Linked DNA regions of Oreochromis niloticus. The protein of the gene in region 1 binds, or shares a complex with, the protein of each later gene. Links are inferred from orthologs where the notes say so. Each region holds a gene or a part of one and is shown on either strand. Other genes may lie near its edges.

Region 1 (3,922 bases):
ATTTGCATGAGACAGAAAATAAAGTAAAGGAGGCAAGAAGCAAGACATAAGACCGAAAATAAGATAAAGAGCAGATAAGAACTGGTCACAGCAGCTTAAACGGATCATATTTCATGGCTATTACAGAAACAGTAGAGCACATCCTCATCTCCTGCAGAAAAAAAGTTATGTATGTGCAAGGATTGGCTAGGGTTAAAAATAAAGCTGTACAGATTCAGTAGAGGAAAGAAACTCAATTAGTGGGTGCTTGAAAGCAACTGGCCTTACAAATACTGTGGATGGCAGTGTATTCAGTTCAGAAGGAGGAAGTAATGCAACTCTAAATGATGCCAACTGCCACGGAACTCTAAAGAACAAGAGTCTGTCGATGTTGTGCCAAAATGTGATTTCTGATGTTTCTCTGTGCTTTTAAGGTCTAATATCTTTTCTTATATTGGTAAATAGGTTGTAGTCAACAGGATATATTAATGGGCCTATATAGTAAATAATGAAATGATCTGTTTTGCAAGTGTCTTTAGGACTCTGCATCATTGTACTTGTTGTAATCAGTCAAGTCCTTTTTAGCCTCTTAACAGGTTTAGTTGCAATTTCTGATGTCCTCTAGGCCAGATCTCTCTTTAAAAAGGCATCTCTAATGTCAATGAGACCTTTGTATCTGTATAACAAACGTTCATTCTGACTCAAAGAATAGTACACTAGTTTATACAACATTTCACTATAGGGAATATTATAGGGTTACTGGCTCAGAAAGAGAAACAGCATGTTTGGTCTTTGTGCTGGAATGATGCAAGAATAAAGATTATTAGATGTCTTGATGCATTCTCAATCATCCAGGAAAGTAAATCTCCAAAAGTTGAATCTGTTCATCTGGACGTAGCGTTTTGTGGGAGAAACGTTTCGTCACTCATCCAAGTGACTTCTTCAGTCACTTGGATGAGTCAAGTCCTTGGCACTTGGATACAATTTATACAATTTATAATTTATTATTATTTAATTAATTAATGACACTTTTATTTGATTATTTAATAATGTATTTATTTAACTAATTTTGGCACTTGCGGCCCTCTATAGAAAATCAGTACGGGGGAAGAAAAGACTGAAATGATAGACTAAAAAACTGGGGGTGGCAGTAATACAACTCTAGAGAATTAGAACTGCCATCAAACACGAGAGAAGAAGAACCGATGATGACGTCAGTCCAGGGGCGCCAAATCTGCTGCACGGTACACACAGAAATACTCGTCAGGTGAAGTTTGGGCTGTTTTCATCATCTGAGCAGGTCAGCATAAACTTTGCTTGTGTTTATGACGATGTGTGCTACTTTGGCATTTTCTCCCAGCAGCCTAGACTAATGACTTAAACACAAATCTCAAGGGCGAGCTGGTTAAAACTGTCCGTTTGAGTGTCGCGTAGCATTTAGCTAACGTTTAAGCTCACAGCAGCCACACGGATAATAACAGAGCATTTCATATTTCTTCTGAAATGCACCTTTTCCGTTGATAAAATCCCCGTAAAAAATATCCGTTCTCTAAAGTTGTAAGGATCCGAAATGTGGCGATTTTCTCTATATATGCAGTAAATGTAGGAGAAAAGAAGCAATTTCTTTAAAAGTTAATTGTCATACAATCATTTAATCCAACAACGGAATAACTGTGTGTGGTTAGTCTATGTCCGATTGTAGGTCTGTGTGTGTTTCATTGTGTCTGAATGTGTATAACTTAGTGAGTCAGAGCTGGATCTCACATTTCTGTCATTTGACTTTTAGAGTACCATCGCACCCTGGGATCTTACATCTCCCTTCACAAAGTCCCTTACACACACCCACAGATTCACACAACATCATTTGCTCTCCTCTCAGGAGCTCAGTCTGGGTAGAGCTGTTATTCTCCTCCTGTAAGGTAGGTAAGAAAAACAATGTTCTGTATTTCGTTGTTTTTCTTACCCACCTTACATATCAGGTTTTTTTTTTCCTGATTTCTTGCTAAATATTGATATTAAAATATTCTTAAATATAGTGTGTAGAATTTTTTTTTCTCTTTATTTTTATTTTTTTAAACAGTAGTAGAAACCTGCCAGCCAGCTGCGACCCTTGTGGGGTACAGTCTAAATTTAATGTTGTTGGTTTCTCTTGGCTGACTAAAACTTGTTTGTCCTTCAACAGCCACCTTAGCTAGGATATCAACTTGAATAGAGAGAAGTAAGAAAACAAAATTCAGTTTACTGCAGTCTTACTAGCAGTGAGATTTTATGCACTGCAACTTTTAACCTGATCCTAAAGCGTGTGGTTTTTTTTTTTTTTTTGCACACTTTATTTAAGTTTGCACAAATGTATGGTCCCATCAGTCAATGCTGTCGAAACATTAACACCCCACTGTGTGCCCTGACACACCTGATTTAGATGCTATACAGGGCATTAAATGATGCCTCTTCTTCAGCAAAATTATTAAGTTATTAAGTGTGTCTTTGCAGTTTTTCTGAGTTGAAAGAATTCATTTAAAGAGTTTTACATTTTCTGATTCTTTTTTTCCCTTTAGTTTTCAGTATTTGTTTTCTCTTCAGTTAGGCTTCGGTTATTTTCGTAGTGGATTTGATTCTTATATTTATTTATTTGGTTTTAGTCTTTTTAATTAAAGTTTGGAGGGTATTTATCAGGGGCACCTGTTACAGAAGTTTAAAGTAAGTAAAGTAATAGATACATGCCTTACTTTGTGACTCACTAAGACAAAAATCAGCTTTAAATTTAATTTAATTTTGCATGTTCTTTCAGCCATCAATCATGGACCTCAGCCCCTTTGAAGCTGACAACTCCGTCAGCTGCCGGCTGGTTTCTGAGATCCCTGAAGTCTGCAAAACGGAGGATTGTTGTCTTGGCATTGATGAGGCTGGCAGGGGGCCTGTGCTGGGTACGTGACTTTTACTTACTCTAAGCTAACCACTCGAGGTTCTTCTATATTTGAAACACAGAGTGCAAACTATGTATGTAAAGTTATGCTGAAACATAGTGTTAAAATTGCACTTAACTAAATTAAATGTTTGCCAAATATGACAAATTGTAACCTTTAATTGAAAATTAATTAAAAAGCTTCATAACATGTTTTGAAATTTTATCCTACAACTTATTTTGAAATTTAATAATTTTGTTTACTGGTCTGGATACACAGAATGTGAAATTCTGGTCTAATACCAGTGTTAAAGAACAGTTTGTCCAGTGCTTTTTTTAATGTTTGTTTTTAATTTATTTGCTATTAATATCCCTTATTTGCTAGAAAAAGGAGAAAATTTTTAATGGTTAAAAACCATCAGATTTTCTGATCACCTCACTGTCCTTAAACATTAAGGCAGTGGAAAATTTTGACAGAAGACCTTTGGTACCTTTGGTAAATTTCATGTTATTTGTTGATAGGAGCCAACCATGTAGCTATGAGCTGATATTGATGTTTGTCATCTCCCTGTTATTTGCCATTTGGGTTTTGGGTGAATTAGTATGTACATTTAGTAGAGAAATCTAACAGTTTTGATGTTACTTGTGATGCAGGGCCAATGGTGTATGGGATATGTTTCTGTCCACTTTCCAAAAAGGAGGAGCTGAAGGACATGAAAGTAGCAGGTAAACCAGTTTGCTTGTATTGCTGTATTTAAACTGAGAAAAGCGCAGCATACTTTATGAATATAATGCTTTAAACTCATTATCACTGCTGTCCTCCCGGACAATTAAACAAAAAAAAAGAAAGAAAAGTATGAAGCTTGCTAATCATTATTTACTTTGTTTCAGTAGCTAAAAATGTCACCAGAAAATAAATGAGCATAAAAAGCCCCCCAGCGTTTTCCTTTCCACATTTGAAAATACAATTTGTCATTGTGTCTTCAGTGATTATTTGCTTTTCTTTTAGATTCAAAGACCCTGACAGAGGCAGAAAGAGAG
Region 2 (3,922 bases), on another chromosome or scaffold:
GAAAATGGTTAGGTATAAAGACTGGACTGAAAAACTTTGAAAAACCTCCAGAAAAGAACATTTGGCTCCTTGGAAGTTAAATATAAAGAAATGAGGGGTAGCTCAAGAATTTTACACAACACTGTAAATCATAAAAGAAGAAGGGAGTTAAAACTTTCTCTTCATGTGAATCCTGATAAAGTATTCAAGAAAAAAAAGGATCCCATGCAACATGCCTGCAACAGTTATCTGTCCTGCTATAAAAACTCACCTCTTGCTTGTGCTGGCTAATTGTGAGCTGTTAGGAAACGTCTTCTTCTTTCCCTGAAGTCTCCTCAGTGGAGGCTTGACACAGATTTTATGCAATATGAGCAAAACTCCCCCAGGAAACTTCTCCTTAGTGGCTCTCGGGCTCACATTGGACAGGATTTAGTCCATCCCACACTAAGACAGATGCTGCTGCCAACTGTAGCAGAGTTCTCAGAACTGAACAAGACTGCAGTAACACTGCGACATACGTCATCAAAATACTCAGAATGTACGAGACATTCCAAAGTGTCCTATGACATGTGAGATTATTTAGTGATGCTGCTTGAAATAATGCCTACAAACTCACATATTTGTCCATATTCAGTGTTCGAATCCATAGTGTAACAAATGCTAACTCATTATCTAATCCGCTCCATGAGGTCTAATATTCTGAACTGTGTATTAGTTTTATGTCCAGCAGAAACTGATAATCATATCAAACTGTTTGCTGAACTGATCATTTATTGTTGATCTATTTTGTTTCGTTGTCGTCCCCAGGGGTTTTTTGTTTCAGTTTTGTGTTATCTTGTGTTCTGCTTCATGTCTTTTTAATAGCATTATTACTGGTAGTGATAATAGTCTCCCCAGTGTTTCTATTTGTATCACCCTCTGTGTATTTTCTGTTTTAATGCCTTGGTCCCCCTTTTGTTCCTTTGCCTCTGATATTCAGTTAAGTGTTAGTATTCATGTTTCTAACAGACTCTGTATCACTCTCATGCTCACACTCCTGTCTTCCTCTTTATCTGTTAGTCCATTTCAAGACTGTTTTGTGTTGTCTTGTCTTTGTCTCTTATTTTAACATATATATATATCTCTATCTATCTATCTATCTATCTATCTATCTATCTATTAAAATAATAATTAAATGAAACATTGAGATCTCTTATCAAAGTATCTCATGTCTAGAGGTGTGAGTGTGATCGCAGTTCAAGGGTGTTATTGTAAACACAAAAGCTACAAGCCGTAGAAAATCGTTGTGATCGAGCTTCACCGGGAGGAGGCGCTATTCTGGGGCTGAGCAGAAAAAACCCGCCAAAATAACTTCTAGCGTAGAAGAAGAAGGTTTTGCCCAATCAGAAGCTGTGTTTGCTGTTTACCGGAAAAGATCCCGTTTAACGTTTCACGTTTGGAAAACTGCAGAAACGTAAGGGTATAGATATATGTCTTTCAAATAAATGTAAGACTTTTATAGCATGTTGTATGGTCTTTAATAGGAATTAATTTTTTTTCTCTGGGATTCTTTGGAAAACATGCATGTGCTCACTTTGAGTATGTCGTATTCTGTGTATGAACAATGGAGATCAACAAATAAGTATTATCACCAAAAGCCAGAAAAAAAAAAATTGTTTTAAAATAAGTATTACTTTTGGCTGCTCTCAGATACTCAGGCAGACTGAAAGCTGGTCACCAAAAGGTTTCATCCTGTGCTGTGACGCATGGATTACATAGCTGAAGGTCTGACAGACAGTTATGGTTGACTGGTAGTCAGACAGGTAGGCTGGCAGAACAACACAAAAAGCTGTAAACAGGTGGAGTAACATTAAAGTCACCATGAGTTCTGAATCAATTGCAGATGATTCATTGTTTGTTTTATTTTTGAGTACACTGGTGTGCTAAACATAAGAGCTCAAAAAAAGCTATTATTGTGAACCTATAGTGACATCTGCAGTTGAAAAATTATTTTAATTGCAGAAAAACATTCAGATTAAAGGCTGAACTTTGTGGCTCAGTTTGTCACACATACAATTTGTTTTCCTTTTTTTTTTTAGTCTGGTAAACAAACTGCCTTTGATAAAAGAGACTGAGGTTAAATTAAAAACTAAAAATGTACTTTCTTTTTTCTCCTGTCTCCTGGCTGCAGGATGTCCTGTAATTCCAGTGTTATTCGTCTTTGTGCATCATCAGTGGGACAGGCACCGCAAGCTCCAGTCCACCTCATGCCATGTGAGATTGAACACAATGGGCCAGCACAGGTCAACCAATACTTCACTGCTACCACCAAAGACCAGAAACAAGGTAAACACAAAATCTTTTCATATCTGATAATATGGATTAATCCACAGCGGTTAGATAAAATGTAGACATATAAGATCGCTAAATGTGTAAATAAAGCAAACAGCTGCCAGTATCCTGGTTTTAAACTATTTTTCGCTGTTTCTGATATGATTAATTCGTTTTGGGGGTAAAAGTGGAATGGATTTTAATAATTCTCAGGAATTTTTAGTTAAAATGAGTTGCTGTTTAACACTTAAGTAAGTAATGAAAGTTTAGTTTTATAGTAAAAAAAGTGAGAACCAATTAAACAATTCAAAAACTTTAAAAGTGGGATGGTATGCGAACACTTATGAGAGTTAAAGCCTTACAGGATCATTTTAGACAGACTGGAGGCGATCAGTAGGTGCTTTAGGAAAGAAAATTACGCATTACACAGCACACATCAAGAATCCTCAATGCTTTGTTTTGTTTTTTCCTTTCACATTGCAGATAAGTCGGTGTCATTCAGGGGACGTGGGTTAAAGGGGCAGAAGATCAGCTGTCCACAGGGCTACACGGGGCTGGTGCTGAAAGAGATCAACAAACCCGGCTCAGACCAGGAGGTAAACACCACTGGAGTTGTGGGTCAAAGCACTATTTCATAAAATCAGATGTGTAGATGAGGGTTTTGTAACTTGTGTTTATGTGTGTTTTCAGGACAGGACAGTGAAAGTATCCTCTGTATTTGACAAAATGACCTACTGGAACCTGGAAACACCTCCTAATTCAGACGATACTATTGTGATGGCAATGGATTGGCCTGATTTGGCTGAGGCAGTGAGTTGTTTTTTTTCCCTCTTGGATCCATTAATCCAAGACCAAACCAATCTTTGTCTCCTAGTAATTAATATTTATCACATTTAACATAAATAATTTGCATTTTTTTTGGTGAAATATGACCCAAACAAGCTTGAGATACCCTTGGCTGTATTTTGGAGCAGGGTCATATACCATTCAGTCACCTTTAATCACATCCTACAAGAAATTAAGCATGTCGTGCTAGTTGTTGCTTGAAGCTGCTATTCTGAGTTAATTACCAGTTATTTCCTGGATCTATATTACATTTCCTTCTGTGGCAATTCAGAACATGTTCACCGGGTTTCATGAAAATCAATCTGGATGTTTTCTTGTAAACTCAAATTACACTGCACTGAAAACCTCAGTTGAGGCTCATTCTCTTTGGTGGAGGAACCGTGTTTAATTCAACTGATGAAAATACAAAAGACACAGACAGAAATGTTTTCAGATATTTGCAGGTTTGTCCTGATATTTTGTCTCTTCACAGATCCATGCTCCAGTAGAAGACTGAAGAGGCTGCCTGATGTCTCCTCAGCATTTTACATATGAAATGTGCTGCTTGTTGGTTATTCATGATAACTGATGGGAAGGCTTAAGAAGTATTTTCAGTAAGTGTTTCTGTTCCAGAGCAATAAGTTACACAACCTTTGTATATATCTTTAATGACGTTTTTTTTTGTAGTGAACAAAGAAAATTAAAAGTCACTGACCAAAGTGTGCAATGTTTTATTCACTGAAAAATGACCATGTTCATGTGGCACGTTCTACTCAACACTGTTTATTCACAAGGGCACATTTAGATT

The links.
Region 2: the proteins of rnaseh2a (region 1) and rnaseh2c are in contact, whole or in part, in a crystal structure (PDB 3PUF), measured with the Homo sapiens proteins. The link is inferred for Oreochromis niloticus from reciprocal best matches to the Homo sapiens genes RNASEH2A and RNASEH2C. Residues at the interface, in NP_006388.2 of Homo sapiens: Thr11, Asn99, Ser102, Thr103, Leu106, Gly107, Arg108, Val109, Val196, Glu197, Lys198, Leu199, Glu225, Pro226, Val227, Phe228, Gly229, Phe230, Pro231, Gln232, Phe236, Leu245, Ala249, Glu250, Asp251, Val252, Ile253, Trp254, Glu255, Asp256; in NP_115569.2 of Homo sapiens: Pro33, Cys34, Glu35, Val36, Ala37, Val38, Ala42, Pro43, Val44, Gly45, Arg46, Phe47, Phe48, Pro50, Ala51, Arg53, Ser62, Phe63, Arg64, Gly65, Arg66, Cys67, Leu68, Leu134, Glu135, Thr136, Lys143, Gly146, Ala147, Thr149.

What each region holds. Positions count from the first base shown.
Region 1 is NC_031971.2:24,437,539-24,441,460, forward strand, and holds the start of rnaseh2a (ribonuclease H2 subunit A), read left to right. Parts: upstream 1-1,123; 5' UTR 1,124-1,279; intron 1,280-2,767; 5' UTR 2,768-2,776; coding exon 2,777-2,903; intron 2,904-3,535; coding exon 3,536-3,607; intron 3,608-3,890; coding exon 3,891-3,922. UniProt on the Homo sapiens protein: Catalytic subunit of RNase HII, an endonuclease that specifically degrades the RNA of RNA:DNA hybrids. Participates in DNA replication, possibly by mediating the removal of lagging-strand Okazaki fragment RNA primers during DNA replication.
Region 2 is NC_031966.2:20,693,551-20,697,472, forward strand, and holds the start of rnaseh2c (ribonuclease H2 subunit C), read left to right. Parts: upstream 1-1,385; 5' UTR 1,386-1,463; coding exon 1,464-1,465; intron 1,466-2,149; coding exon 2,150-2,304; intron 2,305-2,772; coding exon 2,773-2,885; intron 2,886-2,979; coding exon 2,980-3,099; intron 3,100-3,607; coding exon 3,608-3,631; 3' UTR 3,632-3,922.